Linked DNA regions of Pelodiscus sinensis. The protein of the gene in region 4 interacts with the protein of the main gene of each other region in a biochemical or structural test. Links are inferred from orthologs where the notes say so. Each region holds a gene or a part of one and is shown on either strand. Other genes may lie near its edges. The genes, in order: ABCC4, SLC15A5, CFTR and PDZK1.

Region 1 (7,098 bases), about 88 Mb from region 4:
GGACTTAAGAAAAACAGCAATTATCACAATCTCCCTCCCAATGCCACTCATGGGATGTAGTTTTGGAGCTTAGGGTACATGTTTTACCATGTATTAGTGCACAAGACATTCTGAAGCACAAATAAAAACATTTTTAAACCACATATTTTTAATTACTCCCAATTTGAATAATGAAAACAGACAAGGCAGTGGCTAAAGATGATGGTCTCCAGAGACTCCAAATTGATGGCTCATTTTAACAATTCATGACATACTAATTCTCCTTTGTCCTATTACTGCAGAAATGTTAACTGCCTACTTCAATTGAAGCAGTTTCTAAGCAGTTCCTTAGCAGTCAGTCCACTTTAAATTTAGCCTCAACACGTGGATCCCCAGAGGATAAACGGAACAACCAATAGTCAGGAACGATACTGTAGGAAGCAGCCAGCTAATAATTGGGTATTGCTTTGCAAGATTCCCCAGAGAGCCACGTGCTACTTAAGGGATCTCATTTAAAAAAGAAAAAATAAACCAGGAGTTTGCTCGAGGTAGGGTAGATTTCGTTAGAAGGAACAAGTGACTGGTTCGCCTCTGCTCATTGCGTAAGTGGAAGAAACAGCTTGTTTGAAAATTGCTGACAACTTGCATCACAACTGACCTAAGCACAGGTGGCTCAGACAAGAAGCTGTGACCCAAGTAGCACATTCCCTTTTTCCATTTACTACACAGAACAACATCATGCCGGGGGCTGAAATCAGTCCCCAACGAGGCAATTCCGCACAGCAGCGAGCATCGCAGGCTCCCTATTCGCGATGGCGCTGCCGCCCCCCTGCCCTCCCACGGGCGCACAGCATCAGCCCAGCGAGCAGCGGAGGTTGGCAGCTCCACCAGCCTGCCCCCGGCTGTGCGCTCTGGCTCGTCCGGACCGCGAGAAGCGGCCTGGCGGGAGGCTAAAGGACGCGGGGCAGCCCGGCTGAGCGGGTCGCACGGGACCTGACCTAGGCTTGGAGAAGGGGGCTGGTCCCAGCGAAAGGCCCCCGGCCCCACGTGCACAGCCTGCCTCCCCCCTGCTCTGTCCGCGGTAACACTCCCCCCCCCATGTGCACAGCCTCCCCCCTGCTCTGTCCGCGGTAACACTCCCCCCCCCCACGTGCACAGCCTCCCCCCTGCTCTGTCCGCGGTAACACTCCCCCCCCCACGTGCACAGCCTCCCCCCTGCTCTGTCCGCGGTAACACTCCCCCCCCCCCACGTGCACAGCCTCCCCCCTGCTCTGTCCGCGGTAACACTCCCCCCCCCACGTGCACAGCCTCCCCCCTGCTCTGTCCGCGGTAACACTCCCCCCCCCATGTGCACAGCCTCCCCCCCTGCTCTGTCCGCGGTAACACTCCCCCCCCCATGTGCACAGCCTCCCCCCCTGCTCTGTCCGCGGTAACACTCCCCCCCCATGTGCACAGCCTCCCCCCCTGCTCTGTCCGCGGTAACACTCCCCCCCCCATGTGCACAGCCTCCCCCCCTGCTCTGTCCGCGGTAACACTCCCCCCCCCCATGTGCACAGCCTCCCCCCCTGCTCTGTCCGCGGTAACACTCCCCCCCATGTGCACAGCCTCCCCCCCTGCTCTGTCCGCGGTAACACTCCCCCCCCCCCATGTGCACAGCCTCCCCCCCTGCTCTGTCCGCGGTAACACTCCCCCCCCCATGTGCACAGCCTCCCCCCCTGCTCTGTCCGCGGTAACACTCCCCCCCCCCATGTGCACAGCCTCCCCCCCTGCTCTGTCCGCGGTAACACTCCCCCCCCCATGTGCACAGCCTCCCCCCCTGCTCTGTCCGCGGTCACACTCCCCCCCCATGTGCACAGCCTCCCCCCTGCTCTGTCCGCGGTAACACTCCCCCCCCATGTGCACAGCCTCCCCCCTGCTCTGTCCGCGGTCACACTCCCCCCCCCCATGTGCACAGCCTCCCCCCCTGCTCTGTCCGCGGTCACACTCCCCCCCCATGTGCACAGCCTCCCCCCTGCTCTGTCCGCGGTAACACTCCCCCCCATGTGCACAGCCTCCCCCCCTGCTCTGTCCGCGGTAACACTCCCCCCCCATGTGCACAGCCTCCCCCCTGCTCTGTCCGCGGTCACACCCCCCCCCCATGTGCACAGCCTCCCCCCTGCTCTGTCCGCGGTCACACTCCCCCCCCCCCATGTGCACAGCCTCCCCCCCTGCTCTGTCCGCGGTCACACTCCCCCCCCCCATGTGCACAGCCTCCCCCCTGCTCTGTCCGCGGTCACACTCCCCCCCCCCCATGTGCACAGCCTCCCCCCCTGCTCTGTCCGCGGTCACACTCCCCCCCCCCATGTGCACAGCCTCCCCCCTGCTCTGTCCGCGGTCACACTCCCCCCCGCCAGCCCGGCCGGCAGCTCCTGCCCGGCTCTGTCCAGCGCGTGCCCGGGAGGGAGCCTGAGCCCCTGAGCGGACCCTGGGCGCGGGGCGAGCTCCTGTGCGCGCCTGGCTCCGACGCCTGCTCCTGGCGGCCCGAGCAGCCCGCGGGCCGGGGACTCACCAGAAGAAGAGCCGGGAGCAGAGGTTGGCCGCCTGCAGGGGGTTGGGCTTCTTCTCCCGCCGCGGCGCCTCCATCCCCTGCTGTCACCTGCAGCCGCCGCTCAGTGCCCGGCCCGCAGCATGCAGCTGCCGGCAGCCGCCGCCTCCCCAGCCCGGCGCCGCTTCCGGGAAACCTGACACCCAGCCCCGGCGCCCTCGCACGGCCGGAGTCCGCCAGCAGCCGCCGGGGCCAGGCATCGCCCGGGCACGATCCCCGCGAAGCGCTGCCCCGGGACGTGGCAAGAGACGTGCTGGAGCGTGGGCGGTCAGCGCCGGGAGACCTACCGCCCGCCGGCAGGGGGGCTCGGGCCTGGCCTTCAGTGCGAGCAGGATTTCAATAAGCCTCCTTTCTTCCAGCTCCCGCACACGCGAGCCCCCTCCTGGCTCCGGCTACAGCTGCCCAGCTCCCCTGAGGGGCCGCAATGTTTGCAGGATTTGCGCCTTAGAAAGTTAACGGGAAGCCACAGGAGGCCAGCTCCATGGGGGCAACGACCTTAGATCAGTGGGGTTATAATCTTTCATAGGTGCCCCTGGAACTGACTGGATAAAGTATCAGTCTCTGTAGTTGTGGATTGAAGTCCCATCTTGGTTGTCTTTATATCATGTTTTCTGACAGGAGGTGGAAATGGGCACCAAGGGAGGCTTAGGTTGGACATTAGGAAAAACTTCTTAATTGTCAGGGGACATCTATGCTAGGAAGTTAGTTTGAAATAACTAGATTCAAAATAACTCCTGAAAGAACTGTTTCGAGATAGCTTATTCCCCAAGAAAAGAACTAAAAACTAGTTTGAATTAGCATTTTGCTAATTCGAACTAGCATGTCCACATTAAGTGGACCCTGAACCAAGGTTAAGGATGGCCGGAAGCAGTGCCGGCAGGGCATCAGAGGAGGACTTAGAGTGTGGAGATGCTGTCTCAGGCTAGCCGAGGGCTGTGCTTAAAGGGTCCCGACCCCCACCCCGGAAAGACAGTTCTCAGGGGTGCCCCGCTTGCAAAGCAGTCCTGGCTTGGAGTGCCCGGAGTACCCACACTAGGCACATCACACCACTCAGCCATCAGCTCAGCTGCACTTGCCACAGGCTGCCATCTGGGGAGAGGGGGCAATTGGGAGGCTGCAGGAGAGCTTCCACCTCCAGAAGCCCACAGAGCCAGCCCAGTCCTCCCCATCAGGGGCTCATGCCCCATTCCTCCCTCACCTCCTTCCACTTACCCTTCCCTAGCCCCTCTTCTTGATGTACAAAATAAAGATAACATGTCTTCCAAAATGGAATCTGTCTTTATTGAACAAAACTGGGGGAGACTGGGAAAAGGAGGTGGGTTAGGGGAAGAGAGAGGCTGGGAGAGGGGAGGGCAACTAAAATGATCAGGGGTTGGGAACAGGTCCCATATGAAGAGAGGCTAAAGAGACTGGGACTTTTCAGCTTAGAAAAGAGGAGACGGAGGGGGGACAGGATAGAAGTCTCTAAAAACAGGAGTTGGGTGGAGAGGGTGCATACAGAAAAGTTTTTCATTAGTTCCCATAAAGAAGGACTAAAGGACACCAAAGGAAAGGGATGGGTAGCAGGCTTCAAACTAGTAACAGAAAGTTGTTCTTCACAAAGCAAAGAGTCAACCTGTGGAACTCCTTGCTGCAGGAGGCTGTGAAGGCTAGAACTGGAACAGAGTTTAAAGGGAAGTGAGATCAAGTCATGGAGGCTGGGTCCATGGAGTGCTATTAGCCAGGGGGTAGGAGTGGTGTCCCTGGCCAAGGTTTGTGGAAGGCTGGAGAGGGATGGCACGAGACAAATGGCTTGGTCACTGTCTTCGGTCCATCCCCTCCAGAGTCCCTAGGGTTGGCCGCTGTCGGCAGACAGGCTACTGGGCTAGATGGACCTTTGGTCTGACCCAGGACGGCCATTGTAAGCTCAGGGCTCAGGGACGGGGGTCTCACTGGACCCCCTTGATTCTCTTGCACACCTGCTCCTGGGTGGCCAGGCTGGCAGCTCTCCTGCCCTAGACGGCCACTTTCCTGTGCCTAGTGCGGAAATCGTGGACAAGGTCCAGACATACCCTGGATCACTGGAATAAATTGCTTAGAGAAGTTATGGAATCTCTATGTAGTCTTCTATGATTCTTTCTTTTGCAGGCCTCTAAAATTGTGAATAGAGCTAGGGCTTTTTTGGAAATCTTAGACATAGTCTGTGGACCTTCCCTGTTGGAAACCACTGCCTTAGCCTGGCAGCTCCTTAGGGGAAGCATAGTTTTCCTACATGTTTGTACAGCACCTAGCCCCTCTTTGCACTACTAAAATACAAATAAGCACTAATTAGATTTTGATGGACAGTTGCAGGTTACCTACCAGCCCTGTGCTCCTGGAGAGCCAGGGAGTGACATTCATGGAAAACCATCCTTCCCCTTCTCCTAGGTTTGCTAGAATCAGACAAAGCAATGAAAAGGCCAGGGAAGATACACCTAAACTAATTAAGGAAACACCCCAGCCTCATCTGCATTGAAGATAGAACAGAGGGACATCTTATTAGCATACAGAATGGAGACCAGCTCTTCCAAAGCAGAACCGCACTGAACTATGGGATACCAAAAGCAGAGAAGCACTGCCTGATGGGAAATCTCTGCTCCAGATGCTAATGAAGCCAGGCCTGCTCACACCCCAATTAGTCATTATCAGACCAATTCTAGTAATGGAACCTATTGACATCCAAAATATTGAAACTGCCTAGTTGCATTGTGAGTTTGTTCAAGGAACATCATCCATAACCAGGGATGATCAGTCTCTATTGTCCCGCCTCTTTTTCTCTTTGAACTATTGTCCTATCCCTATAAAAACTCCTACCCTGTCCCAAGAAAAACTGTTCTGACACCTGGATTTAAACTGAATCAGTTCCATTGAGAATTCATCATCTCCTGTCTGATCGTGCTGGGGGCTCTGCTCTGCTTATCTCCTGCCCTCTAGACCCCCAGCTTCTATCACCATCTGGGAATTCCGATCAGTGCATGCTCCACGGAGTGGTAAGGTCTCTCTCTCTCTCCCTTCCTCACCCCCAACTGCCTCTCTAAGCATAGTCTCCTGACCCTGACCTATGTAAACTGTTATATGGTTACCAAACATTTGTAATCAGTTTCAATTTAGATTTAATATTGTAACTGTTTCATATCTATTCACTACCCAGAAAAATAACTTTCATTGTTAAGCTGTTTGCTTCTCTCTCTTTCTTTCTCTTTCACTTACTCTTCCTCAAGGGGTGTTGTTTTGGCTTCCCCATTCACTCTGCAACAACACTTCTTGCACCCAAGCTAAAGATCCCTGTAGTGCCCAAAATCCTGTGGGGTTTGCTCATCGTGTGGTTTACCAGTGAATTACTGTGGTGTGAAAGTGGGGTTAGGGGGTGCTGAACCTGGAGGCTTATGAGTATGGCAGCTTAAAGTGCTGTTTAATCCAGCGAACTGAGTTTAAAGGCTCATGATGGTGCAGTGTAGCATTGCTGTTAACCCATCCTGCTGAATCCAGGGACATATGAGGGGTCAGCTTGTGAGTGCTGAGTACCCAGTCCTCTCAGACATGCTCTGGTAGTGGGTGTGAGTGTCTGTGTGTGTTGCTAAGGTGGGAAGAATCCCATCCTGAGGAACCTAGTTCCTTCAGGAGAGCTCCAGTGGGAGGGGGAATTGACAACAGGGAGAGAATTCAGCTCCATATGAGAGCACAAGCAGCACACTGATAGAATTGATAGAATTCCCCAGTCCCATAAGAGTAACCCTAATAAATGAGCATACCCCATAGTATTGGGCAAATCTAGTAACAAGATGGAAAGCACCCACCTCCCTCATACTTAAAGGTATCCACTAGACTTTAAAAATTATAAATAAGATAAATATAACTGCTTATTACTTCTGAAACATTTTATTTAAGCTTTCCTCCAGGTACTATCAGAAAAAAAAATTATTCCCAAATCTCAGTTCAAGTCCCTCATTAATTGCTGTGATAAACTTTGTGTGATTTGGATGGCACATAAATAAAGACTTTATAGTCTGAATGTGCAAGAGTAAAACACAGTTTTGAAATTGATTGTCCTACAAGATATATCAAGAACAGCTTGTGCCAAACAGAACTTCTTTAAACAACTTTAAAGTGTGAATTAAGTTCATCCTCACAATGACTTTTATAACCATAATATGGTATAGCTAAGCCTCTTTATTTTCAGTTTTTATTTTACTTCGTTTTCCCCAGGAATTTATCAGTGTTTATTACCAGAACAACACAAACAGGTGAAAATCAGTGCAAAAAAACTTTTCTGGATAAACATTGAAGGGCTGGATGGAAAGATGGGGGGAAAGTATGCAGTAAATGAATGCTATGAATTTGAATTAATGCTTTGAATTTTAGAAAAGACTGTACCCTTTCCATTGTTTGGCAGCAGGCTTACAGAAGAAGATGAGGAATCTGTTCGTTGGGTCAGGGTTGAAATCAGAACCTTACATCTAAAACAAAAATTGAACTTGCATTTTTGGTATACTTGGAATATTTGAGAGTTTCAGAAC
Region 2 (7,594 bases), about 51 Mb from region 4:
TGGTGAGGCCACATCCGGAGTATTGCATCCTATTCTGTCCTCCGCCTCCCCCCCCCCCCATTACAGAAAGGATGTAGACACATTGGAGAGGGTCCAGTGGAGGGCAACACAAATGATTAGGGTCTGGAGCACATGACCTATGAGGAGAAGCTGAGGGATTTGGGCTTATTTCATCTGCCAAAGAGACGGAGGGGGAGGGGGATTTGATAATAGCCTTCAACTGAAGTGGGGGTTACATAGAGGATGGATAGAAGCTATTCTCAGTGATGACAGAAGGAAGAACAAGGAGCAATGGTCTCAAGTCGTAGTGGGGGAGATCTAGGTTGGATATTAGGAAAAACTATTTCATTGGGAGGGTAGTGACGCACTGGATTGGGTTACTTAGGGAGGTGGGGGAATCACCATCTCTAGAGGGTTTTAAGTCCTGTGTCAACAAAGTCTGGTTGGGATGATTTAGTTCGAGTTGGTCCTGCATTTATCAGGGGGTTGGACTCGATCTCCTGAGGTTTCTTTTATGATTGTAAGTAGCAGGTTATCTTCAGACTGTCAAAGACCATTGTTTCCCAATAGTATTTTTGTGTCCTAGACAGACTGAAAGTTAGTCTAGGTTTTCCTTTCCAACTGCAGAGAGAACAAGAAGAGTGGTTCTTTCTTTGAGGTGTGGAAATAGACACAGTGCACTCCAAAGTAGTCACGAACAGTGGCTGTCTAGCATGATGATTAGTCAGCTATTCTCACTAGAAGACATCCTGCAGGGAACAATGCTTTGTTGGCAGGGAGATGAATTAGTCACAGCTACTACCTGCTTTAAATTAAACTATTCTCAGGAAAGATTAAAGTGGTAATTCTCAAAAACATGATATTCTAGTCTTTGCCTCAATTATCACATCTCTTGTTTTCTGTCACTGAAGTTGTCACCCCTTTCATCACATTGCGATCTCTAGATCTGTATACACAGGACCGAAACTTTGTCCCGTTGAAGTCAACTGGAATTCTGGCATTGATTTCAAAAGTGAGTTAGACCCGTAGGCTCCTAAGTCTCTCTGAAAGTGAATGGGATTTGGTCACCTACGTGTAAGAGTCTCAAAGGTACTTAATTTCCATTGAAAAAATCAATAGGAGTTAGGCATCTAAGCACCTTTGAGGATCTCAGCTTACATCGCTTTTGAAAATGAGGCTTACAAACTTAAGTAAGCTTGGTTTTGCAACCCTGAGCAGAGCAAATCCTTGGGCCTGAGTTTTTTAAAAATTACACTTGTAGTGCCAAACACATCAGCAAAATGTCCATGACATTTCTCAACAAGAAATTTGGCAAGAACTACAGCAAGTGTTAGGGTGCATTACAACATTTTTCATATTTTCTTTAAAAAAAGTTGTATTGTGTTTAAATAAGAATAGCAGATGAAAACAATCAACACAGTGTAACTTTTCCATCATATGAGCAGAAGTGTAGATCCTGTAGCCGCACAACCAGATTGGCAACCGGACTGAACCAAGGCAAAGCAGGTGGTAAGTCAGTAACTGGAGCAACATGCAAGTGCCTAGGCTACTTCCTGGTCACTCCCTACTATTTTAAGTGGGCTGTAGAACCAATAAAGAACATCTTTCTGGTGCTGAGCTCATCAATTGATAGATGGCCTACACAAAAATAACAACTCCACTGTGTCTATATTGGCAAGATTTTGTGCAAAAGTGGCTGCTTTTGTGCAAAAACTTGCCGCCTGTCTACGCTGGCCGTGAGTTCTTGTGCAAGAACACTGATGTTCAAATGTAAGAAATCAGTGCTTCTTGTGCTACAACTATGGCGCTCCCACTCCGGAATAAGCCCTCTTGCGCAAGTGTTCTTGTGCAAGAGGCCAGTGTAGACAGGCAACATGAATTTCTTGTGCAAAAAAGTCCGATGGCTAAAATGGCCATCGGAGCTTTCTTGCGCAAGAGAGCATCTACACTGGCATGGATGCTTTTGCGTAAAAGCACGTCTCTTGCACAAAAGCACATTCCAGTGTAGACGCTTTCTTGCGCAAATACTTTAACACAAAAACTCTTGCGTTAAAAGTATTTGCGCAAAATCTTGCCAATGTAGACGTAGCCCTTCTGTACTGATGAGCAGTCTCTTTTACACCAGCTGAGATCATTAGGCACCTAGGAGAGAACAAATACTTTTATAACACTTCAGGAACCAGCTGTCCCATTTTGACAGAGCTATCTCTTTAAAGATGCGTCTTTAAAGGATTTCAAGACCCAGATCCACAAAGGCCCTTATGCCCCTGACTTACCCATCACTATGATCCACAAAACTCTCACTTTGCTACCACCTGACTCTTAGGTGCCTCAGGTCACTCGGTGCCTAAGTTTGTGCAGTAAAAGTTCCCGCAGTGCCTATGTTTCTGCCTGGGTGCATGTATATTGCTGCATCCCTCAAGAAGTCCACATACTCCTCTCACATATAAGCCCCAGTGCACTTTTTGGACTGTGGGAAGATAGGCACTTCTCTTCCTAATCCATATTCAGGTGATTGGGTAGGTGGACTCAGAGGCCATGTAAAATGGACAGGATGAAGGCAGGCAAGGATGAGGCTCACCTCTCTTACAACCTGCAACCCAGCAATTAGAGTGCTTGCCTCTGCTGTGAGTAAAACCTCAGTTTAAGTCCCTAGTCTGCCTAGTGAGAGCTCTGCTAATTCTTAGGTGGGTGTCTAACCATTAGACTAGAGGGTGAGTCTGGCCCAATTAACATTTAGTTATTCAGTTAGTTAATTAAAATGGAACACATTCAGTTGAAGGAGACACCCCCCCCCCCCCCACTAGCATATCCCATAATTTAGTCATTCTAAATCCTTTTGTCAGCCTGGTTGGGGCCCACACAGATTTGTCAGAGGCAGGACTCCTCTTTGAACCCACTTCAGTCCTCAGCCTGTGTTGGTGATTCACACTTAAAATCGCATCTGGTTCAATACTAGTGTAACCCTAAAGATATTAGCTACACTGACTCCTTTCCTCAAGCACTTTGCATTAAGTATTCTAACTACTATATTAAGGGATAAACCAGCTAACAGATTAAAGGGTTTGGTCCAGACAATGCAGCAGAGTAAGGAATAGAACACATGGTCCCCAGGGCTCACCATCAAACATTTCAACTCACTTCTCCCAGAGGCAGACCCATTTCTGAAATAATCACATACATAGAAACCCATTCCCACACAACTGTTTCAGGCTACTTTGTGGTTTTATGGTGTTTAACCAGCCAACCAGTCAGTTGTTTTCCCTGCCTGACCCCAGGATCAGACAAACTATCATCAAACAAGGAATTGTTGTAATTAAACCCAACTGGCAAGCCATCTAGCTCTACTGCTCTTCTTATAATCTCATTTGCCCTCAATCAGCAGCACCAGTAAGACACAGGTGCCCCCTGGCCAAATCTTTTAAAGACAAAAATCTACACATGAGCAGGGAATGTTCACTATTGAATTGTGCATAGAAGGCAGAGTGTATTTACCACAGTGTTTTCAATCTGAGTCTATACTACAGTTTTATCTTCAAGTTGAGTAAAAAAAAGGGCACCTTAATGCATCTGCAGCTAGGTAAGGGGTATTCCCCAAGATAGAGTGTGCGTCTACTCTTTGGTCACAATACTTTCTCCTTTCCTGTGGTGTGGTTTGGGACCAGGCTTATTAAACTATGAAATAAAAACCAGCTGAGGCTATAAGTAATCCCTCTAGTTTGCTTTTTCTCCAGCCATCAAAAAAGAATGAAATACATTCTAGTCCCTTTTAGGGAATGTGGCAGGCATATGTACTGGTATGATACAAAATTCCCTCATCCCCCCCCCCCCCCCCCCAGTCCCACCCAGAAGTAAGCAGACTCTGTGATACCTTTAGCCAAGTTCTGGCTTTAGAACTTCATTTGAATTATGAGAATTCAACCCTTAGTTGAGAAAGAGGCTCTACTGATGCTTGGCTCTACTGCTGCATTCAGGGCTTCTGGATTTATATTTAATGGCCATTACAGAAAATTAGGGCAGTAACCTTTAGTCTTGATACCAAAGTTAAGTGAATTTTGGATTTGGACCTCTGACTTGGGCCTATACATGTGATCTATATACTATCAGGCATCTCTATTACTTTATAATACGTAGTCATAACATCTGCTAAAGGGTGAGAATCATGTGTGCGTTTAAGTATCTATATAGTTAAATGAAACTGAAAAGAGTCTTTGTTTCAACAGATTGCAAAGTGAAAGGCTTGATAGTGTTCTTTAGAAACATGCGTCAGATTCACCATTGTCTTTCACCATGTGCAGTCATTTACACTTGTACAAAGTGGGTGCAGGACATTACCAGTTGGGACAGGTATAAATGGCCATGCATGGTAGTGGAGATTCAGGAGGTTGGACTAATGTTGTGTAAACTTCTTAGTGGAGTGCCTGGGGGAGACATGCTGTAGACTTGTCCCAATTTATCTTTATTAACTATTCATAAACTATCAAGTTAACATCCAGGAACCGAAGTCTTCCTCATTCTGCTTCTTTATGGCATGTGTTAGCTGTGGTAAAAGGTCAGGCTAGAGAAGCTGTGCTTGTTTTCGGTGTTTTTTTTATTGCTTTTTCTCTTCATTACTACATGGAATTACTTTCTTGTAAAACCTGTTTTATTGTATTCAATGTGCTAGCATTTCTTACTTTTCTAATTAACTTTCTTATCTGAATTTCTACCAAAAATAACAAGAAATGTAATAATGATAAGATATTGTTCACCTAAAAACATGCATTCTTTCTATCTTTAGCCTTTTGCTTGCAGTTTCTCACTTGTTGCTTAATTAAGGTATGAGAATATTAGCTCCACATTATTTTCTTGATCTAGTACTTGAATTCTGCTGAAACAATTTAGCCTTCCTCAGTATTTAAACCTTTATCTGTAACATGCAGATACAATATGTGCCAAATTGTATTAGATACACATAATTTAAGAGGTAATATTATTTTGAAGGGAGGGGTAAAAGTCTTGTTCACCACCAAACAAACAGATTGGATTGAGTAACTATTGTGCACTCAGAAGTTTTAAATATTGGTATCCCCTGTGTTCCTTGATCTTTAATGTAACAGCACTAAAGTGATAGGTACCCTGAGGAATTGTGGTAGTAAGGTGTGGAATTCAAAGCAAGGGTCTTACCAGTTTGTTAATTACAGTGGAGGATAACAGAAGGCACATACAGCCTAACCCATTCAATTTAGTTTTGCTAAGAACAGTTAAGTATGCCTGTTACAGACCTGAGAGCTTTACAAGAAAAACAACTTCTGGAACACACTGCCGAGAGTGAGAAAAGGAAATTCTCTGGAGAAGAAAAGCATGTTGTAGTCTCCTCTGGGTTCAACTCTCAGAAGAAACTTCAGGTGGCTATTTGCCTACTGTTGATAGAGCTGTGCGAGAGATTCACTTTCTTTGGCATTGTCTGCAACATGATTCTATTTTGCACCATCAAACTTGGTTATCCCAACCACCAGGCAGCCATCATAAACATGTGCTTTGTAGGTGCCTCCATGTTGTCACCTGTGTTAATGGGCTGGATTGCTGAACAGCTGGTGGGGAGGATGAAGCTGGTGTATATCTGCATGTTTCTCCACTTTCTAGGTAGGTGCTATGCCATGATCATTTCACCTGGCATGTGCTTTTTGTATGCAACTCTGCTCTGTGTCAGTTTTTTAAAGTACCATAGAAATTCACTGTTCATCATATAAATGCAAATCCAGGGATTCTTTTCAACCAGGTGGCCTCACCAAACTTCTCTACTAGCTAAGGGCTTAACTTTTCTTTTCACAAAATGTACTAATATATCTTAATGAAGCATTATTTTGAAACTTTGTGAAACAATCTTTGTAAAATAAGGCCTAGATGTTTTGAAAGGTGACTAGGGGGGATTGGGTGCTGTAGCCTGAGAACCTAAACTGTGACACTGTAAAGTGGTTTTACTTTTCAGAAAGCAGGCACTACGGATTTTTCTGAAAGTGAGGCCTTTTAAGGTATCAGGTAGGGCACCCAAAGTCACTGATCTCTTTTGGAAAATGCCACTTGCTCAGGACTACAACTTTCAATGCATTTCTCCAGTTGGCACAAATTTGAGGTTCGGCAGTATTTAAAACTACACGATCGTTACATTTGGGTAATAAGGGTAGACAAACTTTGACTTGAATCCAGAAGCAATACTTGTATGCTCACCTTTAAGGCCTGACTCATATTAAAAATATTTCACTCCACCCAATGGAGTTGTTTATATTCAGCACAGGATCCCCTTTTCTAAATATTTTTTTAGATAACTTACGTTTGAATGTTACCGGCACGTGATCTTCCATATATCTGAAGTCCCCTCAATATACACACACACACATGTAATGTATGGAGAGCTCCTAAAGAGCTTTCACAGAGTGGCTGGAAGGTGGTGGTGGTGGTGGGGGAGCAAACAATCTAAAACATTAGCTATTTGCATGGATTGTGAAGGAGATTAGGTGGTGTAAGGAGTAGAGCCACACCCTTTCCTAGCCAAACTGAGTTTGCAAGGCTCTGCTCCCTCTGTACAACTGTCACATGCAATTTAGTAAATGTCACAGCTGACAATTGCTTTCTCAGCCTAAATTGATCAGATAATACAATTTGTATGCCTTTTGTTTCTAGGTCAGGGTTGAGGTAAAGTAGGGACCTTAAGACAGTGTCTTGTTGTACTCTCCTGCTGTGAGTAACAGTCAATCTCTGATGATGCTGCCTGTGGCTCAAACTACACATCTACCAGAAGTAACTTCATAAAATCACCAGGTTTTAAGTGAACAAAACAGGAAGAAGATGAGGGTAGAACAAGTTATTACCACTCCAGGGCCATGTTAACACAGACATTGCAAATTCACCCATTTTTCCGTAGCTCTCTAATAAAATATGTATCCACTGCATAACTAACCACTTGATGTATAGCTGAAACATACACTTAGTCACATTTACTTATACTAAGGGACTGCAGGCAGCTTTCAGGCTTGGCAAAAAAGTTACTATTTAGATAGGCATCAGAATTGTTGAAGTAATCAAGATCATTTCTGAATGAGTCTTCTCTACAAGCAACATTTCTGTCCACTTGAGCTCCATCCAGAAGCTCTTGTGTGGAATTCTCTTGTGTGCAGCAGGTGTCCTCAGCTTATGTTTCAGAAATCTCTGCACTGGGGATGCTAGCACCTCCTTTAGAGTGCTGCTGCTGCAGCTGGAAATAATTCCAGGTCATGTACATCAGCTATGTAAGCATCTAGGGGGGTAACTGAAGAGAAAAGATCACAAGAATGTGAAAGAAAAAATGATGCAGAGAACTAGGTGGGTCAGTGGAAAGAAGGCAGAAGGAAGCCACTTTGTCTAGAGTACTAAAGCGCTCTATGAATACCTGAAAAAAACTATTTGCTTTATATCCCTCCCTGTCTTTTGAATCTAGATTACAAAAAACAGGACATCAAAGTAGGACAAATTGACTTTCAGGAATAAATTGTTGAACTATATACCAAATATATTACATCAGACCACTTAACCCTCCCTTGACAACCATCAGAAGCAGCATAAAGCATTTCCCAAA
Region 3 (7,382 bases), about 120 Mb from region 4:
TAAGATCCAAATTCCTTACTCAGCTATGTTCACATATCTCCCAAGCAGGACACATGCATCTAAGCAAAGAATCTGGCCACAGGTTTGCAAAAAGTAATATATTACTTAACATTTCATATGCTGTCGTCAGATAGCTGAGAACCACTATGATGAATGATATGTTTATCACTGAGACTCCCCTGGTGGATAGTATCTTATCTGCAAGTTTCACCACAGTTATTTCAAATGGTCGTACAGTGACCTTCAGTCTACTACATTACATCGAGATTGGCATTTTACAAATACAAAGCCAAGAAAGAAGCAGAACCCAGTACAAACTGTGAAAGTGAAAATGTCTTAAACTACATGAAGACAGATTATAGGACAATGTTAAATAATTGTTGTTTGAAGGAAAAGTAACTTTCTTCCATTTCATTTTATAAACAAAGGAAGTATTGACTTCTTGATTTTATTTCAGCTGCACTGTTCATGCTACACTAGAATAATAAAAGCATCAAACCTGGTACATGGGATAGCATAAAAGGCACATGCTTAACCTTAAGTATATTCTTAAGTGCTTTCTAAATGAGAATGCTTTCTAGAACAGGGTTTGCTCTTGTTATGCAGATACAATTACACACCAAAATGAAATTCTATCATTTTAGAAAAAACACAGCAAAATCCAATATTTAACCACAAATTTATGGGATGAACCAGTTTATTGAATCTACAAGTGTTTACCTAATGCTATACAAGAGTATTGTTCTGGTTTTGTAAAGTTCATCACACATAGTATTTCTTAAATTCTTTTCACTTCTTATAACTAGATAATTTCACTTGTTGCTGTATGTCAGCTTGCTTTCTAGCAACTACAATAACATATTTCCCCCCAGAAATTTATCCTGACCCTATGAGATAGATACTCTGTTTGGGTAACTGAATAGCAAAGGCATGTATTTTCAAATAAACCAATATACTTTCATAGTTTAAAAATGTTAGCTTTTGAACAAATTTAATAAATAAAAACTATGTATTCTGGCACCCTTCTAAAAGAAGAGTTTTGATGCAACTCTTAATATTCACCATTTTTACATCTAACTAGTGTTAGCCTATTGATGTATCAAATAAAACATTCCAAAAGCACTGAATCGTAAAAGGGATGATATATGTTGAGAAGGAACAAAGAAATCATTTGTAATATAAATGTCCTAGACAACAAATAAACAAAAACTTTGTACTACACAGAAATTTATTAGTTTACCAGTTTCATTCACTGTGAAAGTATGCCCGTATTTACATTTTTTTGTGTTTATTGCAAAGAAAGTTTATTTTCAGTGGGTTGACTTTTCTTCTACCACACCAATTAGCATTATAAAATGGTTTACATATTGGTGACAAGGAGAGAAACATTGAGTATATTTCAGCATGCTTTTTTTTTAATTGCAGAGTAATAAATGTTATATTAGTTGCATTTATTTCAGTTTCACAACAGGCCTAATCCAAAGCCCACTGAAGTCAATAGAAAGATGCTCCTTCAGTTCAATGGACTTTGGATAACTCAAGATACTTAAGCAGATGCTTCACACTGACCATGTGTTTAAGTCCTAGTTCAGACCAGGGAACTTTTGCCTAAAGAAGGGATCAGAGATCATTTTTTTTCTTGGAGTATATTTTTTGAGGCTTAAGCATCAGAGATTCTAAGATACTTACTCTATGATATGTCCCAGAAATAACTAAGATGAAAACAAACTAGAGGCTGGACTAACCTCCCAAAAATATTTTAAAAGAGGCAAAGTTATCCTGAAATCTAGCCATTTTTAAAAAGTGAGTCTGAGGGGTCACACTTGCCAGAAGCAAAATGCAGGACTATGTAGCACTTTAAAGACTAACAAGATGGTTTATTAGATGATGTGCTTTCGTGGGCCAGACCCACGTGGGTCTGGCCCACGAAAGCACATCATCTAATAAACCATCTTGTTAGTCTTTAAAGTGCTACATAGTCCTGCATTTTGCTTCAGCTACACCAGACTAACACGGCTACATTTCTATTACACTTGCCAGAGTCCTCCTGCCATTCATAAGCACAGTTTACTATTTTATAAACTGATTTTCTTACCCCTATTGATGCCTATAGGAAGCAATAAGGAAAACTTTGTAGCTGCGTGAAACCGGGTGCACCCAGTAGGCTGTCAGAGGTACAAAGTTGGGGAAATATGGAGGACGATTTTTGTCTTTCTAATCTTGCTCCCGTATGATCTCAAGTGTTACTTGTCACAGCTCCTGGTAAGGGATTCTCAGATGTGTGATTTGTATGTGTGTACTGCGTGTGGTGATGGTGGTGGAGGAAGGGGACGAAAGAGAACACGCAAAAAGAAGAGAAAAGGGGCCACGGACTTTCAATCCATCAGGACTCGTCTGACCGAGATCTGTGTCTAGGGAGTTGACCCTAAAATCACTTTCAAGAAAAGTGCTGGCGAAGCAAATTCCCTCCGGAGTTCTCACACCTTGCAGAGAAATGCACAGCCGCCTGCCGCGGTTTACCCAGGGCTGCTCAGATAGCCCGCTCTGAATTCACTCCCTCAGGGAGCATCGATGGCACGAGCTGAAGCGGTGTCCGCCCCTAGTGTTCAGAACACAGGCACGACGTGCCCGGGAAGACCACGGAGCGCGGCGCCGGCGGCAACAACCTGGGCAGCGCGAGGCGAAGGGGAGCAACCCCAGCCCGACTCCGGCCAGGCGCGCGGCGGCCGCAGCCCGGGGGCTGAGGATGCAGGATCCGAGGGACCCCGCCGAGCCGCATGTCGCGCGCTGCCGCCCGCCGCAGGGCCCGACCCCCGCGCCCGGCCCCGGCTCTTACCTGAAGAAAAGTTTGGAGAAGACGTTGGCCTTCTCCAGGGGGGAGCGCTGCATGGTGCCCGGGGCCGCGCAGGGAGCTGCAGCGGCGGCTACTTGCGAACCTCTCCCGCGCCCGCCCCGCTCCTGCGGCTCCCCCACCTTATGCACCCTGCCCGCGCTGATGTCATTGGCTCCCTCCTTCCCCTGCCCCTCTCCCCGCCTCTGCTGTGTCCACGGGCCCGGCCTCCGGCCCCCGCACCCCGCCTGGCCTCGCCCCTCCGGCCCCAAAGGAATCCTCCTCCCAGTCCCGCCCGCCGCCGCCAGGTGCGCGCTCCGGGACCCCAGCCCCGAGTTCCCCCGAGGAGCCCCGCGCTCCAGCGGCTGCCTTGCGGCATGAGGGGGCTGGCCGCGGAGCCTGGTGACGCCCTCGGACTTACTCGCCCCACACTTGTGCTTCGGGGCTGTGTGAAACCGTGAGGCTCCAGAGCCCCTTGGGGTCAGGTCTCCCCCGGATAATCCCCCCCACCCCTCGCAGTTTTCTGGGATCACTCCGACCCCCCCCCCTGCTCCTGGGCTCCAAACGGACCTTTCCTTCCCCCTAGGAAAGCCCCTTCCCCTGCCCAGGTCACCTCTGCGCTTTCTGGGTTGTGCCCAGGGTCTTATTCTCTGCCCCCTGCCACGCAGTCTTTGTCTGGTACTGTGTAACACGGCCCACTCCACAGCTCTGAGCCCAAAGTATTGCTACATCCCATCCCCACCCCTAGCTCGGCTGGTAACTCAAATGCCAAGCACAACACGTTGCCGACCTAAAAGAACTGGCAGAGGTTCACCAGGACACCTGCTATAAAGCCAATTTCGCTCTCTGTCAGCAAATCCTCTGGAAGAGTTTATGGAAAGAAACTCAGACTCCCACTTTACAATGAAAGACTTGGCATTTAAAGCATCAGAAGAAAAGGTAAAACTCGGCGAAATCAGGTGCAAAGGCAGTTGAAATCCCCGCTACTGCCTCATATTTTATAAACTGCTCAGTACACCTTGTTGCGTTAAATCCTGGAAGGCTATTGTTAAAAGTGTTAGGCACACATTGACATTGGACTGGAGCAGATTAATAGGGAAGCAGGCTCTTTGAACTGAGATTTTTATTATCTCGAGGCCTTTGGCAAATTTGTTTACTGTGAAATTACCTGATTAATTTCTGCTCGAAATTAATCTAAGTGCAAATGTTAATACTCAGTAATAAGGATACTCTCATGGAGTGTCCAGACCCCATGCTGTCTTGGCTACAAAAGGGTTACTGAGATTGGGCAACTGCCTGCCTGCTCAGCTGGGGCTGATCAGGGGACTCAAAGCAGCTGAGAGATTTTAAAAAAATGTAGAGCAAAAAGTAGGTGAGCAGCAGCCTTCAGTAACAAGTTGGTAAGATACTCCTCAGGAATATGGACCCTCTAGGGGATGGGACCAAAAAGGTAACTGAGGAACAGCTTGAAAGGTAGGTATGCTAGGTAGACAAGGGTAACATGAAGGAGTTGGAAGAGCTTGATGCTCTTTTGTCATAACAATGGCCATGTTGGGTCAGACCAGAGGTCTCTCTAGATCAGGGGTGGGCAAATATTGGACAATAGGCCAAATGCAGTCCACTAGGGTTAGTCCCTGTTGGGCCCCCATGGCACTGTATTTACCTGCATTCTGCAGGTGTGGGGGATCACAGCTCCCGTTGGCTGCAGACTGCTGTTCCTGGCCAGTGGGAGCTGTGATCACCCATACCTGTGGCAGCACAGGTAAATATAGTGGCAGCAGCCCACAAGTGGCTCACTCTGGGGAACTGCTGCTGTTTTATTGCCCACCTCTGCTCTAGCCCATTCTTTCAAACAGTGACTGAGGCCAGATGCTTTAAAAGGAATTAACAAAGCTGGGAAATTATTGCATGATTTATTTTCTGTCTTTTAGTCCGGTTTCAGACACTCAGAGGCTGAGAGCAGTGCAGAACCTGGGCTTATAGTCATTGATGGACCTACACTCCATGAATTTATCTTGTGTATGGTTCCTAGTCTGGAACCCAGGAAAGTGGGTTCCCTACCAAGCCCATGATGATCAAGAAAAAGTGAGCCATATCCAAAAGAGCCAAAAATTGTGTGCCCCTCAGCCAGGGATATTGACCTCCTAAAATTTTGGACTTTTTAAACTCCTCTTGCCCCTAAAAAAGGTCAAGGGCTCTCAGGGACCTGGCCAGACCTTGTCCATAACAAGGAGTCAATGAGCGGGCTGGAAGGTGGACAGGCCCTCAAAAAGGACACTTACCTGATCTAGCTATGAGAGATGCTGAAGATACTGAAATAAAGAATTATATCTGCTGCATATTTTTACCCTATTTCCATACTGGAAATGATTATCTAACTCACGACTGTAAGAAATGAAGCTGTGCTTTTTTTTTTTTAAACTTCCCAAGAACAATGATACTGGCTCAGTGAAGGTGGGATGTCACACATTTCATAACATTGGCTCAACAAACTATTATTTATGGAGTACAATATGTGTGCATTAACAACAAGGTACCTGGTTCCTGCACCCAAAGAGATTAAAATCTAAACATAACCAAAGTGCTGACAAGCATACAACTAACATTAGGAAAAACACTGATCACAGCATAAGAACATACGGTTATTTTGTTGAGTTATTCATTGTGTGATTGATCCTGGTTTGTTTTGTTTAATACCGTGGTTTTGCTATTTAGACACTACATTTGTTGATTTTGGTTTTTATGGTTTTTGTATTTAAAACATTAGATATGGAAAGGGTAGAGGAGAACTATCTTTCAGCAAGTGCATAGTTGCACCCCTCGGTATATTGTCTAGTACTTTATCCAGACTAGTTGCATCTCCAGCCCCATGCCTTTCTTTTTCCTTGCAATTTATGCTACCATTTAATTAGCTGTCATTCCTAGGATACTTTTACTGATATTTTTCTTTCTTAATTTTATATCATTATTCCTAGTTATGTCCAACTGTACTCCCATAAATAATTCTTCTTCATCTTGGTGTTATTACCGCATAATATATGAAGTTGGTTAATGTCTCCTCTTATGGAGTGGCTAAACAAGGCTTTTTTGTCTCAAATTTCCCACTGATCTTACCTGTGATAGCAATAATAGGCGTGTCAGTATCTTAAGCATTAGGGCAAACTCATCCTGCTTAGATTAGGTCTAGATGATGCTATGCTTGAAACATCAATGGCTGTTAAGCATTGTCTATTCTAGTATTCTCACTGTTGTGCTCACTAGTGGAGCTGAATTGGTGATAGCAGCAGTGTGAGTCTTGAGGAAAAAGGGCTAGTGGAGATGTCCCACTTAATTATTGTTCAGACTTGCGATGAGGCATCTGCCCCAAGGGTTAAATCCAAGCCTGGGAAAAGGCTGGGGCTCTGAAGCAAGGAGCTGCATCATATAGCAGCCAATTAGGGCACAGAACTCCTGCTGAATGCAGGCATGTGTCCTAAACCCTGGATTAGTCATTCTCCTCCTATCCCAGGGTATATCTACACTAGCTCGTTAATTCGAGCTAGATAGGCAAATCAGGCATCCAGAGTTGCAAATGAAGTCCTTAGTTCGGATTAACTTTAAACTGCCGTGGGCAGTTCGTTCAAATTAAGGGGGATTTAAAAATGGCGGCCAGACTGGAACATGCAAATAAAGCCCGGGATATTTAAAGCCCGGGCTTCATTTGCAACTCCGGTTGCCTGATTTGCCTATCTAGCTCGAATTAACGAGCTAGTGTAGACATACCCCCAGTGACTTATTCACAGTGGAACAGCTTCAAGGGGAGATACTAAGGGAATTCCAATTCAGAATATCTCAGAGCTGGCTAGTAAAAGCATCTACCTAACATTTCAAAAGCTGTCTTTCACCTCTTCACTCCCCCCCCCCCCCCCCCACATGGAAGAAGAAAGGGCAATGAACTTGTGTCTCCCACATTGCAGGTAAGTGCTCTAGCCACTGGGATGAAGAATATAAGGCATCTTGTGTGGAGCGTCGAAGGCACCTAACTTATTCTTGCAAGAAATAACTTGAGCACCTAAGCTGACTGCAGCTGGTGAGTCCTTGTTCATGAATTGCTATAAGCAGCTAGGTGCCTCCTTGCAGCCTGCACTTAGGTGCCTATCTGGGAATGAGGCTGGAGAAGTGTATGGTGTGGCTTAGCATGCATCCTTTTCTTCAGCATTTCCCATGGGTTAGTTTAGGAAGCTCCCTACCTAGCAAGTTGTTGTTTGTGGATCACATTTTTAATCCTAGGTATCTCATTCAGCTTTGTAGATTAGTGTTGTTCCTGTGCACATTTTTTTAACCACATAGGTGTCTAAAAGTTAAATGTTGTGGCACTTAACATTATAACCAGTGTTTCCTATAAGCTAGACCCTCATGCAGTCACTCAGGAGTAATTCAGATGCCACCCAGCTGATTAGCACAGTACCCACAGCTAGATATTTTGTTTCTATCCCTGGTTCACATAAAAATTATTCTGCACATAGATGGAAAAAATAGAGGGAATATTGGTTTCAATGCTCAAGTCCCTTTG
Region 4 (7,830 bases):
TGAACTCCACCACAGTGCCAAAGCTTGCAGAAACAACATGCAGAAGTCCAGATTAATTCTGAAATTATCTGTTATTCTGATTTACTGCAAGGCTTGTGAGAGTGGATGTGTTTTGTAAGCTCCCAGATCCTGGAGTCATGGGGTATGAGATCCTTGATTTCTCTCCCCTCTGCTCCCCCTTAAAAGAAAAAAAAAAAACCCCAAAATTCTAGTCTACATGGTTGCAGAGCAAAGCTTGAAACATAACATGGTAGGAGGGGGCACCAGCCATGTGCCCCCTCAGCCTGAGGAAAGGCTGGGACAACTCCCCTCCATCTCAGGTCCTGCCTCTCACCACCCTTGCTCCACCTTTTTCCACTCCCCTGAGCTATGCGGCCTCGGGGACTAGCAGAGCTGGCAGCAGGGGCTGTCCTCTTCCCTCCTCCCCATACTCACCAGCAGCAGTGAGGCAAGTGGAGCAAGGTGGCCCTAGCTTGCTCTGCTTCCTCAGCCCCAATGCTCTGCTTTCCGGCAGTGAGTGTGGAGCCGTCCCGTCTGTCCCGTAAGAGATGTGACCAAAGGAGCACTGCAAGCTGGGGCCGCTGCTCCACTTGGCCTGCTGCTGGTGGTGAGTGTGGCAGGGGGCAGAGCCCAGCTGTAGGTACTAGACCCACCTCCCACTAGTTTCCCCGTTGGCTACTGGCTGGTCCCTTTCCCCTCCCACCCAAAGTGCTTGGGAAATTCATGCCACGTGCAGGCAGATGCTGCAGCTAAAGCTGGCTGCTGTGCGGTGGCTCAGGGGGCCAGGGCTGGGGTACATAAATATTAGCAGATGGGAGAACCTGAAAAGGCAAATAGCTAAGATGGGAAGGAACAAGAGCGAGCAAGTGCACTAACCAGGCCCTGAGCTACCACAGCCAGGATTTAGGTAAAGATGAATTAATCAAGGAGAGAATGACAAGGTTGTCATTGTTATAAATGGAACTCACTGCTTGTCTTGGAATATTAGAATCACAGTATTAAACTGTCCTGCCTCTGTATTGACAAGTCGTGCCATACTTGATGTTTCCTTAGCGCTCCTGCTCCTGGAATCAGGTGATTCTATGTGAATATCAACTTTCTATTTTTGAACTAACCATCTGGACCCCACAATGGCAGAGATATGTAGAGCCCTGTGGTGAGACAAAATTGGGATCCACAGCTGCAAAAATGATCCACAGATGCCCATGGACAGGGCTTGACAAATCATGTAATATACTCGCCTGTGGCGAGTAGATTACAAGCCGGCACAGCCAGCGTCACACGATCTGCGCATGCGCAGCGCGATCTACACATGCGCGGCTTGCAGAACTGTGCGGCTGGCGAGTGGGGCTCGCCGCCACTTGGCGAACCCTGCCCATGGACATAAGGCAAGTATCTGCAAATTATGCCTGGTTCTAGATCCAAAATGATATCTGTAGCTGCACCCGTATCTGCAAAAATGAGTCATGGATATCCGCATCTGTGGATATCAAGTGCATATCTGTGGATTTGCAGGGCTCTAGAGATATGCTTGTAAACCAGCCTTCCCATAGGGTGTGCAGGTGGGGAGGTTGATAGATATAGATAAGCAAGATACTGTATTAATCAGCAACACTTCAGGTTTCAAATATGTGCCTCTCCTTGCCAGCTGAATGTGGCACTGCAACCACTCCCTGCCTCCATTTTTTAAAATTTTATTCTTTTATAACACAAATCTTCAGAAGCATTTTACAGCTTAATGATAATCTTAGTAGATAAAAAGTACTCCAGTATTAATTGACCTGTGGAACCAGGCTTTTTCTGTTGCCCTTGGGATTCACGTGGCTTAGCCCTCTAGCTGGGTCACGCTCAGAGTTCAATTCTCTTCTGGGATCAGAGAAGTCCAAACAAAACAAAACATTCTTTCACACCCGGCTTGGGCCCCCCTCAGCCCACCCTCTGGGCTCAGGCTATCTTTTAATCTTTCTGGGATGCAGGGGCCTCTCCCAAGCTCTTTCCTTGAAATCCTCTTACAGTCTTGGCCCCTTTGGGATATCTTTGAGTCTTCCCTGCTCTGGAAGACCCTGCTTCAGGGCCCCTTTATAGGAGTATAACTTGCTCACTGTAGTTCCTCCCCCAAAATCAGTTCCTCCAGCCCCTCTTATGGGGGCATCTATACAACAAAGTGGCAGAAAGTCTCAGAGCCTGGGGCAACAGCTTCATGTTTGTGTGATGGTGCTAAAAACAGCAGTATAGACATTGTGGCATGACCCATGAAGCACACACTCCTCCCTAAGCTACAAAGTCCATGTTTTTTATTTTTAGCACTGTAACATGAGCTCAAGTCTCTAGTCTCGGGCATTGAGAATCCCTGCCACTTGCTGTGTAGGTATATAGGGTTGCCAGGCCTCCAGGATTGTCCTGGAGTCTCCAGGAATTAAAGATTAATCTTTCATTAAAGACTGTCATGTGATGAAACCTCCAGGAAATCACCCAACCAAAATCAGCAACCTTAGACATATTCTATGAGGTCCAGGTGTTTCAGGCAATTACATGATGCCTATTAATTCAGCCCATTCCCCCATCCGGAGCCTGGATGGCAGTCAAGCTCCAGTGGATGTCTGGTGCAGAAACTAGCTGCACTGCAGTGCCAAAAAGCATTAGCACTGGCCACCTCACTACCCACTCAGGTTTGGCCCCTCTGCCATGAAGGAGGGACAGTATGTTAAAATTTGAGTGATTGGCATTGCAACCTGATGCAGAGTGCAATGGAATTCTGGTTGACTCCCTTTGCCTCCCCCAAATTGGCCCTAGGCACATGCCTAGCTTGTCTATGCTTTAATGTGGCCCATATGCTTGCTTACTCACTCAATACTGCACCCTCATCCTTCCACAAAGCCCCATGCCCTGACCTCATTGCTCTACTGTTCGTGCACCCACATGCATTCTCCTACCCAGCTGCTGGGTCAAACCCACCACACTCATTCCCAAAGAACATTGCCAGCCCCATTCCCATTTACCAATTTTCCTATAACTCACTCACCATAGGAAGAGAATCCCAATCCCTCACCCTCAGCTGGTAGACACTCCCCAACACTACCTCCCTCAAACCCCTGCTTGCCCTCTGGAACCTACCCACACAGCCTACCCCCCTTCTTCTGCCCCTCTGGCCATCTCTGCCTCTACTTCAGTTGGAAGATGTTATAGGCTATGTCTACACTGCATGCTTATTTCAAAACAACAGAGTGTGTGTCTACACAGCAAGCCCATTATTTCAAAACTATTTTGAAATAACAGGCTTCTTAGTCCGAGCTCCGTAACCCTCGTTTCACAAGGAGCAAGGGAAGTTCAAGAGAGTTCCTCCTTCGACTTCCTGATGCGTAGACAGCGCCAAGAGCCAAGTTAAGCTACTTCAACTTCAGTTACACAATTAATGTAGCTGAAATTGCATATCTTGACTTTAGCCTGCAGTGTAGACATACCCATAGAGGCGCAAATTACTGTTCTCAAAACAATACATGGGCTGTTAGAGCCTCATCTGTATCCACCAAGCTCATTGAGTCAACTGGCCCTTAGTGAATATCAATGAAGCTACTTTGCATCAACAAAACCTCCCGACACATTACCCAAATAGCATGCTGCTCCTAGAGACTTAGGTTCTAGTCCCACCTCCACAACTTCTGGGTGACCTCAGACATGTTGCTTTTCACCTCTCTGCCTCTGTTTCCTTATCTAGCCTTTGTCACTCACCTGTTTACATTGCAAGCTGTTTGAAGCAGGGATTCTGTCTTACCATGTGTTTGTCTAGCACCTACCAGAATGGGCTTCAATCTTTATTGAGGCCTCTGGACACTATTGTAATACAAATAATTCCTACCCTCAGAATGCATATGGAGTCCCATGCCCAACATCCAGAAGGAAGATTTTCATGCATCTCCACATTCATCCTGCCTATATGCAAAGATCATATTAATGCAATATTCAGACAGATTTCGATGCCTTTTACTTCCACCCCTCTAGCCTCTTGGGACTGTCTGTTCCTATTCTTTAGCTCATAACAGACATGGATATAATGCATCACAGATTCCCAGGCCTGCCCATGGAGAGGACGGGGCCAAAGGAGCAACTGTTGTCGGGCCCAGCAATACAAAAGAGTATTGGGGTCTTATCTACCACTACCGCAGTAGCTGGAACTCTGGGCCCTTTAAATCACTGCCAGAGGGCTGGGAGGAGGGGTAGGGAGGCTGTGGTCCAGGCAGTGCTGAAAGGTGGCTATCCACAGCCATGCCTCCTTCCACCTGAGGCCCCGCCCCTTCCAGGGGCACAGAGTAGGGGGCTCTGCCTTGCTCAGGGCCCAGCAAGGCTGTTGGCCCCACTGCTGATTCCACAGAAAATTTGCTCACGGTTACACAGGCAAATATCTTAAGTTTACTTTTCCTTGTCAACGGAGCTGATTTGCTAAGGAAACAATCAGATATTAACCATGGAACCTCACAATGCCATTTTGCAACAGTGTAACTAAGGCAGTTATTAATTTGGAGACTATAACCAGTAGAGGTACAACAGACGCGTTCTTTCCAATAGCTGAGTCCCTGTCACCAGAGCCTGCCTGCCAATGCTCATTTCTAGTGGTTGAAACTTGTCTTGGATCTGCTCTATGTGAGCCCTTGTCTGTTTTAGGGGAAAGCTCTTACCAAGAGCAAAGATCAGGCTTATCTTGGATCTGCTCCCTGTAAAAGTCTGAGTTTGACAGTATAATGATCAATAAAACCCCAGAGCAGAATTCAAAGTTGCTGAGAAAGGAGAAGTGATTTGCACCACTGCAGGCAGGTTATCAAGGAGGTGAATACATGAAGTAAGACTCAGTTAAATAGATAATCTTTTAACTCAACCTTTGCACAGTCCAAATTCAGCTGTACCTACAGGCAAAGCCACAGGAGAGACTGCTGAGAATTCCCTAGGGGACAGCACCCTGCAGACACGGGTAAGAACTTCCCTTCTTTCTTTACTAACCCTTGCCCCCAAACCTCCCAGGAGTTACTACCCTGGTTACCTTTTTAGGTTGTTTACCCCTATTCCTCAAAGCTTTTGTGCAGCAAAAGGAGTATTAGCATTAAGCCCCATGCTAGCTTCCCCACTCCCCCCCTGAGGTGCATGAGTTCAATATCTGCCATTTCCGGCACCTGCAGATTTCTTCGGCTTGGTTTTCGCTGGGATTTATCTCTATTTCAGGGACTGGTGAAAACTCCTAGGATATTTCTACACTGCCCCCGTTTTGCGCAAAAAAATATGCAAATGAGGCAAAGCATGGAATATCACAGCACTTCATTTACATAATTAATGAGGCTCTGTTTTTGTGCAAGAGGCTTGTGCGCAAAAAAGAGCCATCTACACAGCTCCTTTTTGCGCAAAAACCCTCTCTTGTCAAGAGCCATTCTTCCTGAAAAAAAATGCGGAAGAACAGCTCTTACAAAGAGGTTTTTGCGCAAAAGCCTCTTCCGCAAAAACGAAGCCTAATTTATTATGCAAATGAGATGCAGCGATATTCCACGCTTCGCCTCATTTGCATATTTTTTGTGCAAAACGGGGGCAGTGTAAACATAGCCCTAGAGCAGGGTTTCCCAACCTATGGGTTGGGACCCAAATATGGGTCGCCATTACATTTCAAAAGTGTCTCCACAGGTGGCTCTGCCTCCCCACCTCCCCCCATTTTTGAATTGCCTTGGGTCACCAAGTCTTCCTGCATTGTCAAAATGGGTCCCCATCTGGAAAAGGTTGGGAACCGCTGCCCTAGAGTATTTAGAACAAGCCACTATGCGCTGCAATTTTCACAAATGCAGCCTGCTCCAGTTTAAAGCAGGTCAGTTCCACAAGGGCAAGTGGTTGCTTTGCCTGTCTACATGGAGGATTTGTCATAATACCAGTGCATGGGGGATAGAATCAGGGCAAATCGTGACTTTTCAAAGGAAAGGCAGGTAAATTGTGTGCTGTGGTCTCCTCTTTACCTATAGGAGAGCTGTGTTTGGGATTAGAATCTCTACCAGGAGAAATTTTCAAAATTGGGTTTAGGAAAGGATGCACCTGCTACAACTGAATTTACTTCAGTCTTAATTTCTCTTTTGTGGATATGTTCAGTGCTAAGTATTGCAGTATATTCAATCTTTCCAGCTATGGGCAGGGTCCTAAGCTGACAAAACTGTATCTTCCTTCAGCTTCCATAACACATCTGTGCCCATCTGACTTTCAATATGCTAGCTGACCTAACTCACCCATATCCTTTCACCTATAGGGGCAATCATCTTTTAATAAACGGGGAGGAGGAGATTGTTTTTGAGCTTGTTTATACATGAAAATTAACTTATTATGAAATCTGGTGTGAATTTAAAGCATCTTTTCCTTGCAAACCTTTGCGGGCACTCTTATTCAAGAAAAAGAGTATCTTAAATTCTGACTTTGTTAAATAGCACCAGAATGAGAGGGGTCACACAGAGAGTTAATCTGGAATAATTATTCCAGATTATAATCTGATTGTTAAGAGTGATATGTGCATGTGGGCCTGTCTATCCATCTTTAGGGGGATAGCAACAATACAGAGAACAATTTGGAGGGACAAGTCAGCAGCTAGAGCTTCGCTGGCATTAATGGGATCTTGGACAAATTTTGTCAATGCTTCTTAGAAATAGTCTTGTTAATTATCTCCACACCCACAAAGTCCCAGGCCAGACCATCCCTGCAACATGGGCCTATTTCTTTATAAACGAGCCCAATTTATTTTGAATAGCTCTCTCTCTAGTCACAAAGCTTCTCATGGACTCTGCTGACCTAGGCTAGCATCCTGTGGGTGGTCAGAGAGAGTAGTTCAGAGTCACAAACCTGAATTGATTAGAATACCAGACAGCTGAAACGAGACAGAGTTTCTACATATATCATCCACAAGGTCTGGCGCATAAGGAGAGAAACACAGAGTACCTAGGAAATCTTTACAGCAGGACAGGTGATCACATGGACCGTATTTATCTGGGCTGCGATTAATGTGTAATTTGTACATCACAGCTTGCCTTGGTCACATGACAGCTTTTTCTCTTAGTGATAAGCAGACAAAAGTCCATCCAAAGGGTTATCAGTCATTAACTACATAATTACACAGATTTTTTTGAAGAGCCAGTCAGAGAAAGATGTGTTAGTAAACCACAACACTCACTAGGATAGCTCTTTGGCAGGAGCTGTTGAACAGTGAAATTGCCTCCCCCTGGACCTGCTCCCCAGAGTGAACCTTATTTCCCATGTATTACATTTTCCCTTGTTGTGCATTTTATAATGGTCAGGCACAGAAAAGAAAAAAAAAAGAAGAGTTCCATCCCACCGACTAGTAATATCCCAAAGACCCATCTGGCTACACAGTCAGTTGGCCCTGAATTCTGCCAGAAAGTGCTCTGGTTTGCATGGCAGGCTGGGGCAACAGATTGGAAATTCAGCATCAATTAATACTTAAAAACTTGAGTTTTTCAATGAATTAAATGGAAAGTAATGAACCCAGTCCATACAGCAACCTACTGTTTCTGTAATTCCTTCAAGATATGTAACTTCCTCCAAAGTGTGAAAATATTTTTGTACATCATTGCACTGTAGAGGTCATCAGGGCAGAAAGCTGGAAGATCTGGCAATTAGATAGGTAGTGGGCGGAGATCTTTGGTACCTGAGAATACAGGTTAAGATTGTGGTATAAGCACATTATCTAGACATTTGTGCTCTAATGACCAGCAGCAAAAGATTTAAAACCCCTTTCCAAACCCACAAAGCCTTCTCTGTGCTAGCACAGCCCAGTTTTGTAGGTGTGCATCCAAAGGAGTT

Evidence for each region.
Region 1: the proteins of PDZK1 (region 4) and ABCC4 form a complex in vitro, tested with the Homo sapiens proteins (2 studies listed by BioGRID and IntAct, with this or other methods). The link is inferred for Pelodiscus sinensis from reciprocal best matches to the Homo sapiens genes PDZK1 and ABCC4.
Region 2: the proteins of PDZK1 (region 4) and SLC15A5 interact in a test that uses a peptide from one of them, tested with the Homo sapiens proteins (2 studies listed by IntAct, with this or other methods). The link is inferred for Pelodiscus sinensis from reciprocal best matches to the Homo sapiens genes PDZK1 and SLC15A5.
Region 3: the proteins of PDZK1 (region 4) and CFTR form a complex in vitro, tested with the Homo sapiens proteins (2 studies listed by BioGRID and IntAct, with this or other methods). The link is inferred for Pelodiscus sinensis from reciprocal best matches to the Homo sapiens genes PDZK1 and CFTR.

What each region holds. Positions count from the first base shown.
Region 1 is NC_134711.1:251,544,676-251,551,773, reverse strand, and holds the start of ABCC4 (ATP-binding cassette sub-family C member 4), read right to left. Parts: upstream 3,001-7,098; 5' UTR 2,602-3,000; coding exon 2,528-2,601; intron 1-2,527. UniProt on the Homo sapiens protein: ATP-dependent transporter of the ATP-binding cassette (ABC) family that actively extrudes physiological compounds and xenobiotics from cells.
Region 2 is NC_134711.1:112,673,369-112,680,962, reverse strand, and holds the start of SLC15A5 (solute carrier family 15 member 5), read left to right. Parts: upstream 1-4,577; 5' UTR 4,578-5,249; coding exon 5,250-5,625; intron 5,626-7,594. UniProt on the Homo sapiens protein: Proton oligopeptide cotransporter.
Region 3 is NC_134711.1:45,169,637-45,177,018, forward strand, and holds the start of CFTR (cystic fibrosis transmembrane conductance regulator), read right to left. Parts: upstream 3,010-7,382; 5' UTR 2,890-3,009; coding exon 2,837-2,889; intron 1-2,836. UniProt on the Homo sapiens protein: Epithelial ion channel that plays an important role in the regulation of epithelial ion and water transport and fluid homeostasis. Mediates the transport of chloride ions across the cell membrane.
Region 4 is NC_134711.1:163,351,148-163,358,977, reverse strand, and holds the start of PDZK1 (Na(+)/H(+) exchange regulatory cofactor NHE-RF3), read left to right. Parts: upstream 1-4,821; 5' UTR 4,822-4,963; intron 4,964-7,830. UniProt on the Homo sapiens protein: A scaffold protein that connects plasma membrane proteins and regulatory components, regulating their surface expression in epithelial cells apical domains.